Rattus norvegicus: one gene and its partners. The protein of the gene in region 4 interacts with the protein of the main gene of each other region in a pairwise test. Links are inferred from orthologs where the notes say so. Each region holds a gene or a part of one and is shown on either strand. Other genes may lie near its edges.

Region 1 (4,383 bases), on a different chromosome or scaffold from region 4:
TTTTATTGCTTTGGTGCCCAGGAGGCCGAAAGATTAATCTGGAGAGGAAGAGCATCATTTAAGACTAGAACAAACTTTGAAATGTCGTGCTATACATTATAGGTAAGTGCATCTCTTAATCCAACAGCAGAATTCTATTTTGTCTTTGTACAGTTGCGCTATTGCTTGTGCTGATCATGAACTCATGGCATTAGCCTTCGGAGTGATAGGATTACCGTATTCGACACTATGCTGGGTGAACAAAAAAGGTTGGCTTTTGTTTTTGAGACAGGGTTCCACTATGTAGCCCTCCCTGGTTGGCCTCGAATTCACAGAGATCTGTCTGGCATGCTTGTTGAAATTTTGTTTTTTAAAGCAAGCATTTTAAAAGTGAAGATAGAAAAAAATGAGTCTCTACAGGATTTCCATCTGAACCGGTGAACTAGGACTAATTAGTCCCCTTTCAGGACAGTAACGTTGTTGATTGTGGCACTCAGATTCAGATGATTCATCCTTCTTCCTTGATAATACATAGATAATGGCAGCATGAATTTTCATCCCTTAGATTTTGCCTTTAACTTTCCAAGATCAATGGCTTAACCCAAAATCTATTGTAATTATAACTCACAACCAATGTAAATTCTTTCCAAATACTTTTTCAAGGACAGTTTTTTTTTTTTTTTTGGTTCTTTTTTTCGGAACTGGGGACCGAACCCAGGGCCTTGCGCTTCCTAGGTAAGCGCTCTACCACTGAGCTAAATCCCCAGCCCCACAAGGACAGTTTTGATGGATCTTCTTACTTCGGATTCTATTTTGGGCTCATGCCAATTTAAATTTGAGTAACTTTTTTTTGTTTCATTTTCGCATTTGACAACTATCATTGATTAATTTCAATGAGTTCTCCCTTATGAGGGTCGAATCTGGTTATATGTTTAGGTAAATAATGTTATGCAAATCAGCAACTATTAGGTTTCATGTTAAGCGATTAAAAAAAGAAAAGCTTTCTGAAAATTTGATGACCCATGAACTGTCTCTTTCCCAAATGGGGAATGTGGGTGGGTTCATCCCTCGGATTGAGGCTGCGTCTTCCGTTCCTTTTGTCTTTTCGGAGGATTATGACTGTCATGGCGCTTTCAAGGAGAGAGAGGCCTTCCTTTCGTCCGGCAGAATTACTTGGGAGCACCTCGACTGGGCGGAGGATGGACAGAGAGACATGAAGACAACGCTGGCAAGCTGTCCGCCAGAGCCCTGCAAGGGAGGAGACGCGGCAGGAGACTGCCCTGAGAGCGCCTGTCTGTGGGAACCGCCCCCCGCTGCCCTGTCCAATGGAAACCTGGCGGCGGTGCGGCACCGCCCACTGTTGGTCCGGACGCCGCGAGGGCGGGGCCCGCAGTTCGGTTGCGCTGCGGAGCGCAGCTGTGAGGGAGTCGCTGCGATCCGAGGCCCCGGAACCCGAGCTGGAGCTGAAGCGCAGGCTGCGGGCGCGGAGTCGGGAGGTGAGCTCCGGAGAAAGAGGCCCTGGAGGGAGGGGCTCGCGGAAGGGCGGCAGGATCACCGGGTGCCGCGGGCCGGCGGGCCGCGGCCGGCGGGTGCTGTCCGGCGGCCCTGCTCTCTCGGGAGTCAGGCCCGACCTAGCCCGGCCCGTCGCAGCTGAGGGGCCACCTTGGCCCCAGGGCGCCGCCCGCCCTCCTGGTGTCTCCGGCGTGGCCGCGGCGGCCCGGAATTCTGCGGGCGCGGGTCGGGGGGCCCCGGCGTTCTCTTGGAACTCTGGCCGCGAGAGGCGGGGCAGGCGGCGCGGGCGGGGGCGGGGCGGGGGCGGGGCGGGGGCCCCTGCCCGAGGACCTGCGGAAGGAAGCGCGGCGTCCGGGCCCGGCCTGCTCGCGGGGCGGTGCGCCGAGCGCGGGGGCGTGGTCTGCGGCCTGACGGCGCGGCTAGGCTGGCCTTTGATGAGGTGGCTGTGGTGCTCAGTCTCCTGGCCGGCCACTGTCTGCTCGCTACCGCTTCCTTCCAAATACTGGCCGGGCGACCTGTTGACATGCTGAGGGCCTCCTGCCTCCGAGCTTGCTTTCTCTCCGACCGAGCAGTTCTGCTGACCTCAGAGGCTCTCTGGGTTTCCTCAGAGCGGCCTGTGGCTGCGAGCTATGCGGGGTGACGTGCAGAGGGCTTTCAACTAATAATGGAAGCCGAGAGAACAACTTTGCGAGAGATGACAGACAATGCCCTGGAGTGAATGTACTATGCACCCTCAGGGTAGCTAGAGGCTTCGAGGAGATTGCCCTCACCAATGTAAATGAGCTTTTCCATGTGTGATCCCTGTTAAAACTACCAGCAGCTCTGAGGCAGAACCCCCAGTGTTGCACAAGTTTCTGCATCTGTTGCGGGAGTGCTTGGAGATCTTTAGGCACTGCTCTTATTTTACCTCCTGGGACATGATTGGGGAGGGAAATGTACCTTCTGGGCATTTGTCGCTGGTGACAGTTCATCCTCTCTCCCAAGTGCAGTGTGAAGGGGCTGTCTGTGAACTTGGTCCAGTAGTTTTAGATTCCATAGGCTACAGCTTTGACATTCTAGAGTATCTTCTGTTGTATCTTGCTAGAATTTCACTTATCAGTTCAGATTGGAGGCACATCGTGTGAATGTAGCTGAAACAGACTTTATTTTCTTAGCTCCTTGATACAGACTTTATTTTCTTAGCTCCTTGATAGGGGAAGGAGGAAAAAGTGATCCTTAACTCATCTTTTTTTATTGGTTTATTAAGACATGCACGAAAATAATAGCTGTTTTGGCATACAGAGGAGACTTTCTAGGGTAGGCAAGGACTTTCCTTAGAAATTTAAAGTGGGGAAGTAGCCTACTAGATTTTTTTTCCTCCTGTAGTGCTGTGTTCTTTGAGTTTACTAGAACGTTAATACAAATCTCCCGATTCAGGTAAAACAGTATAGGCTGGAGAGAAATGTGTAGAAAGGGGCATCAGAGAGTTGTATGGCCATGTTGGTGTTGATTGCAGGTTTCAGATATTCTGAATTGACTTTGGAGTGCAAGTTTACTTTCCAGGGTATTGATTTTTTTATTAGGCAGCGCTTCCTTGAGCTAATCACACATAGGTTTCAGGTTTTTTTTTAATAGTCTCTATTCATTTGATTGTCCTATTATTATTATTATTATTATTATTATTATTATTATTATATGGGTTAATTAGAAACTTAGGTTTTTCTTAAAGCAACTCTGCCCCTGTAGAAATGTTATTGTTTAACACTTTGCTTATAAAAGCTATAGCTTGAATTATTTGTTCTGGAAAGAAGTAGCTGGTATCAGATCTAGTGCCTCAGAGATTGGGGAAGTCAAAGCCTTTGAGCAATGTAAATGAAAGGAAAGCTGGAAACATAAGGCTTTTGATTTTCTTTCTGAATTTGTGCTTAATTAAGTGCAGGCATTTCATTTATTTTAATTCACTGATCTCTCAAGCACCCTCCCATTCTGTGACCTATAGTAACCTACAAGTGTTACTAAACATTTAAGTGAGTAAATGAAAAGAAATGCTGTTAAACAGTACCCACTTGCCACATTCACACATCATGAGGAAGGTGAGGTCATTAGAGAAGGAAGTCATACCTGCCAGTCGCCTGGCCCAAAGGCAGTTTCTACCTATGTATAGGAAAAGTGGGTAATGCCACTGTTGGTTCTAGTAGAATAAGTCACCCTTGGGAGTTTTGGCCTGTTGGTTAAGGAAGATGTAGGCCCATAGGGCTGTCTGTCTCAGTGGAACATTCTAGAGTCGTATGCTCTGAGTAATGCCTGTACACCCTAGTTCTTAAGCACAGTGAAGATCGAGGCCCATGGAGAGCCAATGGGAAATATATTAATTGCAACACTATTTGCTGAGCAGGAGTGGGGTACCAGATTTTACCGTATATTTGGGTTTGACTAAAGTGGACTATATTGTCATTCATCTCATGTGCAGCACTTCGGGTGATCTTCAGTTAACTCCTCTTCTAGAAGCCAGAGAGTCATTCACATTTCAGTATTTAGGTAGGAGGAGATCTGATTTTAGATTTAAAGGAAACAAGGGAGATGTATTTTTTGAGGCTGAAGATGAAGTTAAGACTATTAAAGTTTTATACGTCTGTTTTTGACCTTTGTCTTCTGACTCTGCCCAACAAATGCAGGCTGAGTGTTCATTCCAGCATGTCGGAAGGGGAGTCCCAAACAGTAGTCAGCAGTGGCTCAGACCCAAAGGTAGAATCCTCATCTTCAGCTCCTGGCCTGACTTCTGTATCACCTCCTGTGACCTCTACAACTTCAGCTGCTTCTCCGGAGGAAGAAGAAGAAAGTGAAGATGAGTCTGAGATCTTGGAGGAGTCACCATGTGGGCGCTGGCAGAAGAGGCGAGAAGAGGTGAGATGG
Region 2 (4,509 bases), on a different chromosome or scaffold from region 4:
ACCACTACCACCACCACCACAGTCACACACACACACACACACACACCACTACCACCACCACCACAGTCACACACACACACACACACACACCACTACCACCACCACCACAGTCACACACACACACACACACACACACACACACCACTACCACCACCACCACAGTCTCACACACACACACACACACACACCACTACCACCACCACCACACTCACATACACACACACACACACCACTACCACCACCATCACAGTCACACACACACACACACACACACACACACAGAGCCTTTTAACATGCCTTAAGCAGCACGATAGCTGGGTGACTGCATCTATGCTGCTAGAATCTAGCTCCCGCCGATAATTCCGAGTTACTACTTACTCATTTCTATATTCAGTCTTGGCTGCTCTAACTCCAATTAGTCAGCCGTCTGGGTCACGTTTTTCTTGGCCCAGAGCCGGGGTGTTCTCCTTGCCTTTCTACTCCATGGCAGACTCTGTCCTCTCGTCACACTCTTCTAAAGTATGGTGGATCTCTTTTCTTCTCCTCCCAGTCTCAAGCTGGGGGAATCCTAGAATCCCGCCTCTGTCTGTCCTTCCCAGCTACTGGCTTCTGGCATGTTTATTTACCAATCAGAACCAGCTCCGGACAGGTTCCCAGAAGCTATGTGTAGACCCTCTAGTGAAAACAGTTTTTTGGGGGAACATAATTAGGATTCGCAAAATAAGGGTTCATGATTCACTGAAGGATGATACCCAGACTCAAATAGTATGTAAATGCTCTTATCCTGCAGAAGTCCAGCATGCTGGAGTCTCCCATTACCAAGATAGAAAGACCCAGAAGTAAGCTCACAGGCCTGATTTAAAGCACGTTAGGGGAATTCTGGGATAGGAGCCTGTCATGGAATCAGCCTACCCATCTCAGTAATACAAGCAGTTACATCGGTGCTGATCTCTGGTCTTGTCTTGGGTTTCTGTTACCCTCTGTGGTTCTTAGGAGAGCGTGGTGGTTCTGTGTTGCCTCATAGGGAAGTCCACGGTGATTCCAGGCAAAACGTTTTTTCTAGGTGCTGACATTTAGGGAAAGGGATGGGTAGGAGGGCAGGGTGAAGCTGTCCGCAGGATGAAAGCTTGGTTTTCCATGGGGATCTGTTTAGTCCCTTGGGAAGGGGGAGGGAGGTAGAGAGTAAGGAGAGACAGCGGCAGGTGGGTCTGCTACGAACTGGGGATGAGACTCTACGAACTGGGGATGAGACTTGGGGATTGGGACTCAGGCATGGAGGGAGATATGAAGGTCTGCGGTTAGCCTCCCTGCCTCGAGTGCACAATTTCTTCTTTTTCCGAATTTTGACACTATTTATTTATTTCTTTGCTGGGGTTTTACTATGCTTCCCAGGCGATCTAGAATGCCTTGACTCAAGGGATTCTCTTGCTTTAGCCTCTGACTGGTGACACTAGTAGCCTGTGCTACTGTGCTGGGATACCTTGCCAGTTTGAAACACTGAGTAGCTCTGTGTACACTGTTTTTGTAGCGTGTGTATGAGTGAATTCTTGTTCTTGTTTTTCTATAATCCTGGCCATCTGTCCTTCCTTTGAATGGTAGTCCACTTCTGTTCTTACGTCTAGACCTTGTCCTGATAAGTCTCGTTCTGGTTTCATCCAGTGTAGAGAATTTAGACAGGATTCCAAGGCAGAGAATCAATATATCGTAAAGGACAATTGGGAGTGGTTTTTGATGATGTAATAGAGGGGAAGGAGCTTTGCTCTCCTGAGGAGCGTGTGAGGCACATTTAAAGGCTGTAGTTTCAGCGGGCGAGAGGTTTAGTGGATAGGAAGTGGTCCAGTCTTTTCTTTCATCTTGTTTATTACGTGTGTTTATGTATATATGTGTGTATTATCGAACTCAGGGCCCCGCATCTGCAGCCCAGGGTTTAGAACTACCAAGAAGAAACAGACATTTGACAATACTTCTTAGAGATGCTCTGAGGTAATATCTTCAGAACGAGAGGTTTGTGGGTAGGGGAAGGAGGGCTAAGCAGCGCCAATTCAGCTCAGCGACCGTTAGTGGAAGGCCACGTAGAGCGGGAAAAAGGCGCCAAAAAACGCAGCCAAGAGCGAGGGGGCCGATGGGATATGCACGAGAGTGTTTGAACACCGAAACAGACCAATCACAAAGTATGACTCAATCTATTTGCATAAAGAGGGCGGGGCAGTGTGTGCGGGACAGACCAATCACAGAACATGACTAGCTGTGACAGAGCCCTGAACCTCGCCTTCCGGCCTTGGGCCGTTGGGCCGCCAGAGACGAGCAAGCTTTTCGGTTGCGGGACAGCAGAAACCTCTCTCCTTAACAACGTTTCTCCTGGATTTTCAGCTTCCTCAACTTCCCTGTACTTTTAGGTAATATGTAATGGGCATAGTTGTCTGGAAAAAAGTGTCTTTTTAAGAAATTAGAGAATAAAGGGTGGAGTATTAAAATATTTTCTTGTTCAATAGGCTGGATCCGGACATTTAATACATGGATGGCATTGCTGACCTTAGCATCATGGACTTTAAAGGTAACCAAGCTTTGCATGGTAACAGTTATTTTATGGCTGACTGAAATTCTCAATCGTGGTTGCTGCATCAGCTGCTCTTTTGGATTTTAGGTGTTGTTCCTTCACGGAATCCATGTCTGAATCGTCCAGACAATTTTTAGGTGCCACATCCACCCAGTCCTGGTGGTATTTTGTCTCTTAGCCTTGGCACTCCAGTTATTCTTTCTCTTGAGCTTGGCAGGGTAGCCACATTTGCCACAGACCAACTTCTGAAAGTGGTAGTTCTTAGAGCCACAGCGGCCGGTGGTACAATGTGTGTGGTACAATGTGTGCATCTTATTGGGACGCTTTCCAGACGACGGTGTTCTTTTGTCATGTTGCTTCTACCTCCAAGGCCAAAGAGGCCAGAAGAGCCCCTCTCTCTGACTCAGAACTTTATGTAGCTCAGGCTATCCTCAAATTCGCAATCTTCCTAGGTCAGCTTCCAGAGTGCAGGTGTCAAACACCGCACCTGACATATACTCCCAACATTTGTAACACTGAGGCTGGAGAAATACCTCAAATATTGTTTCACAAAGCAAAACAAAAAGAAAACAAGCTGGGAGGTAGCTCCGAGGCAGTGTTTGCCTTCCACATGTGAAGCCCTGGGTTGGGGGTCCAGCACTTCAGAGGTACACATGCAGGTTTGTCTCTTAAGTTTCTTTTCAGAGTATTCAGTGCTCCAGTTTTTCTCATTTATGTACCAGAAATAATATTTGGAACTTTTTATGAACTAGTGTAAGGAAACAAAATTCACAATCCACAGCTTATTTTCTGGTCATAATCTATAGCTTTTCCCAGGTATTTTAGGAGATGCAGAATTATACTGTTTAACCTGAAAAGTACTATGTTAAAAGTACATTTAAAAAGTTGTTGCAAGCAGATGGGCATGTAATACTATAAATTTATTCTTGGAGACCATGTGGCTGGTTCACATTTTATCTTGTCCTAATAGTAAGGCCTACATAAGGGCAGTTAGCTTGCCTCTAGGGCAGGGGTTTGAAGGAGTACATTGGCTTCTGTAGTATCAAGACAACTCAGCACGGTATGTTCTGCTTGTAAAAATGATTTTTTCAGAAAACTGCTGTCATCCACAAGCCATTCAACATCAGGGCGATAAAAAAGTTTATCTTTAAGAAATTTAAAATTTATTTATTGTTTTAAAAAATCACTGTAAGGGCAGGTGAGATGGCTTAGCCAGTAAAGATGCTTGCCCCCAAGGCTGATGACCTGAGTTGATCACTGAGACCCATATGGTGGAAGGAGAGAAGCAGATCTGGACGATTGTCTTCTGTCCTCTATACTGGTGACATGTTATGTGCATGTGTGTGGTAAGCGCGCGCGCGCACACGCGCGCGCGCGCACACGCGCGCGCGCGCACACACACACACACAAGTAATTCCTGCAAGATAGGAGGCTAGTTTGAGGCAGTATAATGACACCATGCCTCGAGTAAGCAAACAGCATTGCCACGCTTCACATAACACCTTTTCCTATGGTTAATTTGGAGACAAATTCTTATTTTCCTTTCTTTGGATTTTTAGCTTCTTCAGTTTGTTGTTATATAAATGCCCTTGTAACTTATTTTAATATCCGAGTTTAGATTTTCTTTTACTGATATATTTATGATTGTTTATTCCATAAAGTCTTCAGAAAATAGAGCTGGGTGTGTAATCTCAGCACCCAGAGGCTAACACAGGAGGATTGTGAGTTTAAGGGTATCCTGAACTACGTAGTGAATTTGAGGCCCACTTAGCATATATAATGAAACTGCCAAAAATGTATAAAAAATCTTGAATATAGTTGTAGTCAATACCAGCCCTGTCTAGTAGAAATTAATGAGCTACATATTTAATTTAAAATATTCTAGTAGACACATTAGACTGCATAAGGAATTAGATGAAATTAATTTTTTAAAAAAGATTCATTTATTTTTA
Region 3 (2,272 bases), on a different chromosome or scaffold from region 4:
GTGGTCCAGGCTTTCAAACGATGCCAGGTAAGGACAACACACTCTCTTTTTTTTTTCTTTTTTCTTTCTTTCTTTTTTTTTCCGGTGCTGGGGACCAAACCCAGGGCCTTGCGCTTGCTAAGCAAGCGTTCTACCACTGAGCTAAATCCCCAACCCCAGGACGACACACTCTCAAAGTGAACACAACACCTCATTCTCCTCCCCAGGCAAGCTGCAGCATTTTGAGAGTGGCCGATGGCAGACAGTGGCCCCCTCAGAGCATCAAAAGCTGAACAAACTGGATGGGCAAGTATGGATCGCCTTGTACAATCTACTGCTCAGTCCTGAGGCCCGAACCCGTTACTGCCTTACAAACTTTGCCAAGGGACAGCTGCTTAAGGTGGAGAACTCAAAGACCCTACCCATCCCCACTGTGCCCCGCCCAGCCCCGCCCCGCCCCGCCCCCATAGCATCCCTGTCTGTCCCCGCCCTCTTTCCACCACTTGGGCTTCAGAGGACAAGGGAGTTGGAAAGATGCAAACCCTCCCAAGTACTCTCAGCCCCAACTTCAGGACTTCCTGTCTTTGGGCCCTCTGGCTAGGAACAGTTTCCCAATGGCCTTCCCTGGATACCTTGCAGCTTCAGGCCTTCCTCACCGACACACTGCTTGACCAGCTGCCCAACCTTGCTGATCTGAAGAGTTTCCTGGCCCACCTGGCCCTGGTTGAAACTCAACCCCCTAAGAAGGACCTAGTGTTAGAACAGGTGAGCCCCTAGAAATTGAGTGCTTGGGACCACGGTCCACTTTTCTGGTTCCTTCCTTCCTATCTCCATTACACTCTTTTAGATCCCAGAAATCTGGGATCGGCTGGAGCGAGAGAACAAAGGCAAGTGGCAGGCTATCGCCAAGCACCAGCTTCAGCACGTATTCAGCCTCTCCGAGAAGGATCTTCGCCAACAAGCACAGAGGTAAAGTCCCGCTAAGCGGCTCAAGTCACGTGCACAGGACGAAGAAGGGAAGGTCACGAGGGTTTCTGTGCTCCAACCTGCCAGGTCCATTCAGATCTTCTTGACTCCTCCCCCAGGTGGGCTGAAACCTACAGGCTGGACGTCCTAGAGGCTGTAGCTCCGGAGAGGCCCCGCTGTGCCTACTGCAGTGCCGAGGCCTCCAAGCGCTGCTCCAGATGCCAGAAAGTGTGGTATTGCTGCAGGTGAGAAGATCCTGGGACCTTAGTTTCCCCCTAAGCTCCAACCCTGGGTCTTCCCACGAGCCCATTGTCATGCAACCCACCTCGCTGCAGGGAGTGTCAAGTCAAGCACTGGGAGAAGCACGGAAAGACGTGTGTTCTAGCAGCCCAGGGTGACAGAGCCAAGTGAAGGCCAGTAGCTGCTGAGGGCCGACAGAAGAGTGCACCCAGAATGTGACTCTGAGCTTCAGGGACTCTTGCCTGGCCCCTGTCAGACCTCAATTTCCCTGGTTGAGGAGCACAGCTGAGTCAAGAAGAGCTGCAAACCACTACACAGAAGCGAAGGCTCTTCACTTCCTGCCCCACCCAGCAAATACGTAGAGGACCAGGCCACAGCATCAGCAAACTAGCAGACAGGGTTGGGGGGTTGTGAGCAAGGGCCGGATGTGGAGACCCTCTTCCTTTCTCACAATAAAGCAGACTCATGAAACGCATCAGTGTGGCGCTTGATAGTCATCCTTGGGGGCGGGGGAGAAGGGGCGATGGGGCGAAGACTGGAAGGAAAGACTGGGAAGGGGCTCTTTGAAAGGGCCCACCCCTGTGCTGTGCCCCGCCCACAAGTCCACACGGTCGGCTAGCCTGGGTTTCCAGCGCGTCCTCCTCGGCTCTTTCCCGCCGCCCTGCCTTGATCCTGGGGGCGGTGCCGAAGTCGCGGCCCGCCCTGCGGCCTCGCCCGCTACGAACTCACTAGCTGCTAGTCCGCTACAGCACCGGCCTGACCGGGCCATGTCGGCGGAGCCAGAACTCATTGAACTACGAGAGTTGGCACCGTCCGGGCGCATCGGTCCAGGCCGTACCCGGCTGGAGCGTGCCAACGCTCTGCGCATCGCGCCGGGCACAACACGCAATCCGTCACAGCAGCACGTCCCGGGTCGTGGCCACCGCTTCCAGCCTGCAGGGCCCACCACGCACACGTGGTGCGACCTCTGTGGAGACTTCATCTGGGGCGTCGTGCGCAAAGGCCTACAGTGCGCGCGTGAGTAGCGGCCCCACACAACCAGCGACTATGGAACGGGAGGTCAAAGGCAGCACCATAGTTGCGGGTC
Region 4 (3,572 bases):
TAAATCACCATACCCTGACCCCAAAAGAAGATACAGGGTCCAATCTGGTTGGTTGGACCAAAGACTTAAAACTCTGCTAGGAGTTCCTCTCTGATGCCCAGAGACAAGACATTCTCCCTCAAAGTTCTAACTGCTGATGCCTTCCCCCCCACTAGATGGGGCCCTTCTTGGCTGGTTCTGTCTGTCTGGGAGAGAAGCCCAGGCTGTCAGGGAGGAGCCTGCTCACCCACTGGGCCTAGTCCTCATCCAGCAAGGGGTGGGGTAGAAGCCAAGGCAGCCTGCCAGGCCTGGCGAGGGCACCATGTGCCCAAAGAGCCTGGCCCACACCCAGCCTTAAGACAAGGGGCCCATTCAGGGTTCCCTGCCCTGCCTCCAAGCAGCCGCCCAGATCCAGTCCACAAGAGGGGACACACTGGGAAGCTGGGGGTGGATCCTCACACTCACCAAAGACTCCATTGTTATCTCCCCTCCTCACACCGCCAACCACCAGCACATGGGTAGACACCGCCCCCTACCTCTTTCCTTAGGTCACCCTGCCAGGCCTTTCCAGGGACCAAGACCATTACCAAGCCATTTTCTGGTATCTTCTCCAGGGTGACTGGGATTCGCTGTGTGTGTACCCACATGAGCGTGATGAGAGTGTGTGTTGGGGACAGGGTAACTATATAGCTGGACACGGCAACAGCACACCAACCTCCATATTCAAGTTTCTTCAGATTTTTTTTTAATTATAATTATTATTTTAATAACAACCTGAATCCAAGAAGTTGAAGATACTGTCCATACCCCCTCCCTGGGCAGAGGAGAGGGGGCACTTGAAGAGAACAAGGTGGGATGGTGAGGGGGCCTGCCAGGGAACCTCCAAATCTTTCTGAGCCATCTGCTGCTGAGGGGCTCCCCAGAACACTGATTCCCAGGGAAGGAGGTGGGGCTGGGTTCTTTCATGGATGAGGGGCTTCAGATAAACATCCCCTCCTGGGTTCTTTCTCTTCCGGCAAGGCCTGAGGCTTCTGGGGAGACCAGGTGGGAAGGGACAGGCCAATATTTAGCCTCAACTCCCATCCCTGGGCATTGGGGTCGGGCGTGGGCATTAAAGCTACATAGGAAGAGGGGGCAGGCTGCTGGCACAAGGCCCGGCGGCCAGTGGCAGCCCCCAAAGGCACATTGTGAGGGAAAGAAGGCTCAGATGGAAGGCCCATTGGGTGCAGAGGGCCCGAGCCTTGGGAGCCCCGAGGATGGCAGCTGGGCCAGCTGCTCCGGGCTGGCCAGGGCACGCAGCAATCCATTTTCCTGCTCCAGTGCAGCATTCCGCTCTGCCAGGTCCCGGATCTGCTCCTTCAGCACCTCCACCTCCTCTCGCACGGCAAACATGAGGTGGGACTTCACCAAGTCCTGGACCCCAGGGACAAACAAACCTTCAGGCCCCTCAGGCCACCTCCAACTGCCTCTCCCAACCCAGGCACCTCAAGGAAGTGGTTATGATACCCATCTCCCTTTGCTCAAAGGAGGGGGGATGGAGGTTAAAGGAGAAACGGGGCAGCAGGCAAAGGATGAGGGACAGGGCTCACAGACAGGGATGAGCAGAGGTTGAGGGAAGCCAAAGGTAGAAAAGTAGAAGCAGAGAGGGGGGGTGTCTGTAACTAACTGGAAAATTTTCATTCCCAAGTAATGGGAGGGGAGAGGTGCTAGGGACACTAAGGGGCCTCCTGGGGCCAAGCATCTTCTCTTACCATGGCTTGTTCAATCTTGTTGTCAATGCCAACCAGGCTTCCGGAACCACTGGAGAGACATGGGGGTGGGGGTGGGGATACAAGTTGAGGAGGAACCCCAAGTCAACTCTGCTACAGTCTTCTGGTGCTCCCTGCTCTAAAAGCCCAGCCTATGCCCACCCCACCCAAGTACCTGTGGCAGTAGACGATGAGAGGTAGGAGGCTTTTGTCCACCCCACAGCGGGATGAAGGTCGGTGCCCAGGCCCCCCCAGGCCCTGGTGGGAAGGAGGTCCCGACGGCCCTCGGATTGGGGATGACCCCCGTGGGGAGCATGGGGAAGACACGCAGCCCCTTTTTCGGGGTGTCCCTTGTGCCATCCCTACCACTCGAGTCTCATAAGATGATACCAAGGACTTCACAGAGACCCCTGGCTGGGACATTCCTGAGGTAAGGGTCATCAGTATCCACTCCCAACCAAAAGGCTGTGACAGGCAGAATGCCTGGGGGGCCCAGAGCCCCCCTGGGCACAGTAGAGTTCTGCAATGGATGCCAAGCAGGCAGAGAGGAGACCGGACCTACAGACTGCTGCTCTGAGAGATATACACCCTGCCCTCCCCCTCAGGGCAAGGCACAGCTGCCATTGGCTCCTCGGGGACACGGGGACCCCCTCCCTTGGCTCCACAGTGGGCGGGAATTCCCAGACACACATGGTCTGTGCCAGTGTCCCCTTCTCACCCTGGCACCACTCCCAGACTGGAGGGGAAGGGGAGGTGAAGTCAGCTGGTAAGGGTTGGGGGAGGGGCTGTGAAGCAAGAAGGCTGGCATGGGGAGGGGCTTGAAGGTGAGACCCTAGGACGCATGTCCCCAACCTATGCCTCCCTTTCTGCCCTGTCTGGATTAACCATGGTCTCCCTCAACTTTGAGAAAGGGGACAGACAAAGGGGGCAGGGTAGAAATATATGTATCTTAGGTGGCTCTTAAAACGTGGGACAGAGGGTCCCCCACTTCAATGAAGGAGAGAATTAGGAAAGGTTACCATAGCAACAGAACCCCACCACCATATTAGGAACCCTATAAATCAAAGGCAGCCACATACGGGACCTGAGACCTGGGTATGGAGGTCTTGCAGTGAGTCAGAGCTTAAGAAAAGGAAGAAAAAAAAAAGGTACGGCTGAACATGGGACACTGGACAGAGACGCAGAGACTTTAAATCAGTAGTCAGGTAATGACCCAGTTAAGGGGCAGGCCTGGCTGCAGTTTTGAGCAGTGGCCACCAGAGGGCAACTCACGCCTGGCTCAAATGCCCCAGGGCTCAGGCTCCTGACTGGCACCAGGTTAGAGAATCTGCTTCTTACTCAAGCCCCTCTGCTCACTCAGGACTTTCTAGGGTCTCCTTGCCTGCCCCAGGCTGCAATGTCTTCCCTTTGGCTGCCGGACCAGAGGAGGCAGGCTTTTGTTTCGGTTACCTAAGCTTCCTTTCTGCTTTCCCCAAGGACACCAGGGTCTCCAGCCCTGTGTCGTCCCTCCCCTCACCACCGCCCCCCCCCCCCCAGTCAGGGTGCCACTTGGCTCCATTCATACACTGCTGTCACTTTTGTAATCCCTCCCCACTGGCTGTCAACTTCAACCTGCTTTCCTACAGGGGGAATCTATACTCAGTCCAAGGTGACCCTTGCATGAGGCCCGGCCATCAGAAAGGGAGCTGGGAATTTTCCATTCCCTGGCCAAGATCTGGATGCAGGAGGTGCTGACAGGTAGAGCCACCAAGGAGGTGAACGGGCTAGAAAGAGCAGGATATCAGTGAGTAAGGACACGGGGCGGGGGGGCGGGCCTCCAAAGCCAGGGAACACGGGAGATGCTTA
Region 5 (4,415 bases), on a different chromosome or scaffold from region 4:
AAATCCCTCAAAAACTAACAAAAGTATCTTTAAAAACATACCCTAGACAGTAACTGGAAGATATCAGTTCAATACAATGTGAACTCATGCAGCAACAGAAATTACAAAAGCAAATTAAAGCAGGAACAATTCAGTTCATACTTACCCTTCTTCTTTGGCCGTTTTGTCACACTCAATATCAAACTGCCATCTTTCAAGGACCTCGCCACTTTCAATATTCGAGATGACCACTACCAGTTTCTGAACGGAGCACTTGTACAACCACTCTGCAACACACAAGGCAGCTCTTACACTCTAAGCTATGGCAGAGACTCCCACAAGGCAGCTCTTACACTCTAAGCTATGGCAGACACTCCCACAAGGCAGCTCTTACTCTCTAACCTATGGCAGAGACTCCCACAAGGCAGCTCTTACTCTCTAAGCTATGGCAGAGACTCACACAAGGCAGCTCTTACACTCTAAGCTATGGCAGAGACTCCCACAAGGCAGCTCTTACACTCTAAGCTATGGCAGAGACTCCCACAAGGCAGCTCTTACACTCTAACCTATGGCAGGGACTCACACAAGGCAGCTCTTACACTCTAAGCTATGGCAGAGACTCCCACAAGGCAGCTCTTACACTCTAACCTATGGCAGAGACTCACACAAGGCAGCTCTTACTCTCTAAGCTATGGCAGAGACTCACACAAGGCAGCTCTTACTCTCTAACCTATGGCAGAGACTCCCCACAAGGCAGCTCTTACTCTCTAACCTATGGCAGGGACTCACACAAGGCAGCTCTTACACTCTAAGCTATGGCAGAGACACACACAAGACAGCTCTTACTCTCTAAGCTATGGCAGACACTCCCACAAGGCAGCTCTTACTCTCTAAGCTATGGCAGAGACTCACACAAGGCAGCTCTTACTCTCTAACCTATGGCAGAGACGCTCTGCTCAAGACCCACTTTCCCGCCTACAAAATCCTCACAGTGGTATTTTGCCTTCCTTTCATACACAAGGAAGAAAATTCTTCACTAACAATTTAATCAAGTTTTAAATTCTCCACATTACTAGTAGGTGGAAGCCAGTGCATCACGGAGCCGTGAACTTGTACTTCACTGCGATTCACAGAAAGAACATAGGACATAGGCTTTAATCTAACCACTGCCAGTCACATCTGTGGTGGCTGGTCAGAACAGAGCGATAGTATAAGAGCACAAGAAAAATCTCACTACTCTGGTAGGTGAGGGAAGGATTTGTTTTTACATTAAATGTACAAAGGAGAGGCAAATACAGGCTTTAAATGGCAAGGGCGTGCATATGTATCTATGTATGTATGTATATGTATGCAGACTATTGCAAAGTACATGCTTTTTAATAAAGTCAATTAATTACAGAATTATGAAAAATCAAGATGCTACACAAAATCTTAAGTGTTAAATTAATGAAACTATACTTTTAAGAATTAGGAAAGCCACAACTGTGTTTTAAGCAGCATGACCAATTAGCCTTGTGTTTTTAAACTATCATCCTTGGTAGTAAGTGAACTGAAGGGGATTAAAAGAGGATCGATCCAGACACCAGAATTCAAAGCAGATCTTATGCTTAAAAACCCTACCTCTTTTGCCTGTGAATTCATACCCAACTTGCACAAGTGTTGATGGATACTCTATTATGGATACGAATTGCAAGGAATGTTTAAAAGTATGGCCTTAAGCTGGGCACGGTGGCAAATGCCTTTTAGTCCCAGAACTCGGAGGGGGTAGACCCAGGCTGATCTTTCTGAGTTCAATCTGGTCTACATCGCAAGTTCAAGGACAGCCAGAGCTATAGAGACCTATCTCAAAAGCAAAACAAAACAAAACGGCCTTAAAGAGAGTTGTTAAGTTAACCATGTTCAGGTGGTCACCAAAAGGCCATTTTAATGCTGAAGTTAACAAAAAGGCAACAAATACTATAATGAAAACAATTAAAACAAACCAACCACCCATACACATAAAACTCAAAGGGGAAAAAAGGGTAGTTGCAATGCTTTTAGAATTGGTATTTTGTAAGATTACATTGGGAGATACAGAGCAAAACACAGAAAGATGAGATCATTTTAATTGGGTAAAATTTCCAATTTGTTGCACCTGGTTAACCTATAAAACCCATTTCTAAAGCAGCTTTTCTAAGATGCCTAACATCAAGACATTCAGCCTACTTAAAAAACAGAAGAGGTGGAAATTCCCTCCATCACTTGCTTTCTCCCAATTCAGAATCACATTTGAGAAGGCCTGTTGCTTTAAGCTACTTGGGACACTTACAAATGCAAACTTGTAAGGTGTAAAACTCAAAACGTGATTACCTTTTAGCTGCTCTACCACATTATTGAGATACTTTATGAGCTCGGGGTCAGTAGTTACAAGCAAGGTGAGTCCATATTTCTGCACTCGAGTAAAGGTTTCCGACGGATAAATGCCACGCTGATACAAAATGCTGTTGATGCCAAATGCTGAAAGCGAAAGAAATAAAGCCATAAACATGTATTAACGTTTTAAACTCTTCCAGAAATCAGAGTAGGGACAAAACAACACGGAAAACCTTTAACCCAGCAATGTCGAATTTCACCGGGTCGCTAAATGTAAACACAGAGTATGTGGTTCAGATGTCAACGCAGACCACCAGCTTTCAAAGAGCGAGTGAGATGATGCCCCAGGCCAGCCCCGTTTCATTCCAGGAGGCACAGGCCTGCGTTCCCCGCCCCCGGGAGGATCCGGTGGTTCCGCTCTAGCACACGTCCTAAGGCCCGGCCCAGGCAGCTTATCTTTGGCTGCAGGGTCCGCGCTCAGCACTCACAAAAAAACTCGGCGACGATTTCTGCGCTCCCACGCAGGGTGATGCCTTGGTCCCGGGCGAGCTGCTGTGCCATCACTAGATCGAACGGAGAACACTGTCAACCCCTCCGTAGATGGCGCCCTAATGGCTCCTCTAGCTATTCCCCGCCACCCGGTTCAAAAGTAACTACGAATCCCGCCGGTCGCTCTGTGCGCAGGCGCAACGAGCCTTAAACCCCACCTACGTCGCCAGTTTCCGGCCCCAACCCTGTCTTTTAACTCGGAATCCCTTCCTGAGCCCGCCTCATGCTTCCGGTTTTTTCTAAGCCCCTCCCACATTAGGGAACCGGGTCTCTTTTCAACATTTCGCTCCATAACGCTACTTCCGCCGTAAGCCCAGTTGCACCGCAGATGAGCTGACCCTAAGTCCCGCCCAAAGCGACTTGTATCCGGCCCTGGCTCCACCCTCTCTGGCAGACCGAATGCGCAGGCGTAGAGTGGTTCGGGCGTATGGTTCCAGTTCCTGGTACCCAGGAGGGTCCTTAGTGGGCGGGACCTCTGATAAGGTGGCCTAGAAGAGGATCTGAGATGGTAGTGGGGTTACCTACCTGCCACACCCGTGGTCTGAGCATCCCTGAAGCACAGGCTCAGCTTTGAGCATAGTTTCAAGTCTGGGAGAGCCTAATTTTTTTTTTTGTTTGTTTTGTGTGTGTGTGTGTGTGTGTGTGTGTGTGTGTGTGTGTGTGTGTGTGTAAATGCAACTTTTCTGGAGAAATAAGATGAGGGGAACTAGGTCGAACAGAAGCTTAGTGAGTAAAGATGCTTGTCACCAAGTCTGCAACATGTCTGGAGGAGAGAGGCAAGGCACATGCACACACACACACACACACACACACACGCGCGCGCGCGCGCGCGCGCGCGCGCATGCACATACACAAACACACAGACACACACTGTAATAATCATTTAGAAATGTCTTTAGTTTTCTATTACTACATACATTTTATAAGTTCACATCAGATTTAAATGATAGGGCTTCTTGATTTCCTTTCTTTGCAATTAGCCTGCTTTTAAGTCTTTTAGTCATATGTTTCTTTTTGAGTATTTAAGGCCTATACCTGAGCATATAAGATTATACATGAGATTCATGTGACAGTTTTTATATTGTACAGTGTATTGGGTCCAGGAGATAGCACATCTTCCAAGTATCCTAAATGCTTCTAATGCTGGTACTCAGACTGCATTTTGAAACCAGTTGACTATTAGAAATACTGTAATGTGCAGGTTTAAGAAGTTTAGAGCCTGAATTAAATAGATGCCAGGGAGGTTGTATAAGGGATACATCAGAGAAAGAAATTGTGACATACGAGGAAGAATGAAATGGTGGCATAGATAAAACTGAGGTACCAAGCTCTTTCTTCCCAAGTGTGTTTGGACTTAATCTAATTTATCACAGTAACATAAAAAAATCTGGAATCTTCGATGGTCTTACCTATTAACTTTTGGCCACTTGGTTTAACATTACCTCCCTCCCCTTTTATCAAAAGCAATACTATAAAATACTTGAAAACTCAGTTTCTCGAATTTACTTTGCCTCACAATTTTGTAAACTCTTGCT

Evidence for each region.
Region 1: the proteins of Tsc22d4 (region 4) and Nrbp1 interact in binary tests that used the Homo sapiens proteins (3 or more experiments, as listed by UniProt). The link is inferred for Rattus norvegicus from reciprocal best matches to the Homo sapiens genes TSC22D4 and NRBP1.
Region 2: the proteins of Tsc22d4 (region 4) and Tex11 interact in a two-hybrid assay, tested with the Homo sapiens proteins (2 studies listed by BioGRID and IntAct). The two-hybrid records come from large-scale screens. The link is inferred for Rattus norvegicus from reciprocal best matches to the Homo sapiens genes TSC22D4 and TEX11.
Region 3: the proteins of Tsc22d4 (region 4) and Zmynd10 interact in binary tests that used the Homo sapiens proteins (3 or more experiments, as listed by UniProt). The two-hybrid records come from large-scale screens. The link is inferred for Rattus norvegicus from reciprocal best matches to the Homo sapiens genes TSC22D4 and ZMYND10.
Region 5: the proteins of Tsc22d4 (region 4) and Mad2l1 interact in binary tests that used the Homo sapiens proteins (3 or more experiments, as listed by UniProt). The two-hybrid records come from large-scale screens. The link is inferred for Rattus norvegicus from reciprocal best matches to the Homo sapiens genes TSC22D4 and MAD2L1.

The regions. Positions count from the first base shown.
Region 1 is NC_086024.1:30,850,136-30,854,518, reverse strand, and holds the start of Nrbp1 (nuclear receptor-binding protein), read left to right. Parts: upstream 1-1,410; 5' UTR 1,411-1,475; intron 1,476-4,145; 5' UTR 4,146-4,164; coding exon 4,165-4,374; intron 4,375-4,383. UniProt on the Homo sapiens protein: Required for embryonic development. Plays a role in intestinal epithelial cell fate and proliferation, thereby involved in the architectural development of the intestine potentially via the regulation of Wnt-responsive genes.
Region 2 is NC_086039.1:70,233,722-70,238,230, reverse strand, and holds the start of Tex11 (testis-expressed protein 11), read left to right. Parts: upstream 1-1,686; 5' UTR 1,687-2,396; intron 2,397-2,492; 5' UTR 2,493-2,514; coding exon 2,515-2,554; intron 2,555-4,509. UniProt on the Homo sapiens protein: Regulator of crossing-over during meiosis. Involved in initiation and/or maintenance of chromosome synapsis and formation of crossovers.
Region 3 is NC_086026.1:117,101,728-117,103,999, forward strand, and holds the end of Zmynd10 (zinc finger MYND domain-containing protein 10), read left to right. Parts: intron 1-206; coding exon 207-379; intron 380-586; exon of another isoform or gene 587-618; coding exon 619-744; intron 745-826; coding exon 827-948; intron 949-1,064; coding exon 1,065-1,190; intron 1,191-1,280; coding exon 1,281-1,356; 3' UTR 1,357-1,660; downstream 1,661-2,272. Other genes in the region: Rassf1 (ras association domain-containing protein 1), read left to right, coding at 1,953-2,202. UniProt on the Homo sapiens protein: Plays a role in axonemal structure organization and motility. Involved in axonemal pre-assembly of inner and outer dynein arms (IDA and ODA, respectively) for proper axoneme building for cilia motility.
Region 4 is NC_086030.1:24,575,253-24,578,824, forward strand, and holds the end of Tsc22d4 (TSC22 domain family protein 4), read right to left. Parts: intron 1,780-3,572; coding exon 1,731-1,779; intron 1,393-1,730; coding exon 1,183-1,392; 3' UTR 696-1,182; downstream 1-695.
Region 5 is NC_086022.1:97,235,100-97,239,514, reverse strand, and holds the start of Mad2l1 (mitotic spindle assembly checkpoint protein MAD2A), read right to left. Parts: upstream 3,007-4,415; 5' UTR 2,893-3,006; coding exon 2,820-2,892; intron 2,476-2,819; coding exon 2,329-2,475; intron 267-2,328; coding exon 146-266; intron 1-145. UniProt on the Homo sapiens protein: Component of the spindle-assembly checkpoint that prevents the onset of anaphase until all chromosomes are properly aligned at the metaphase plate.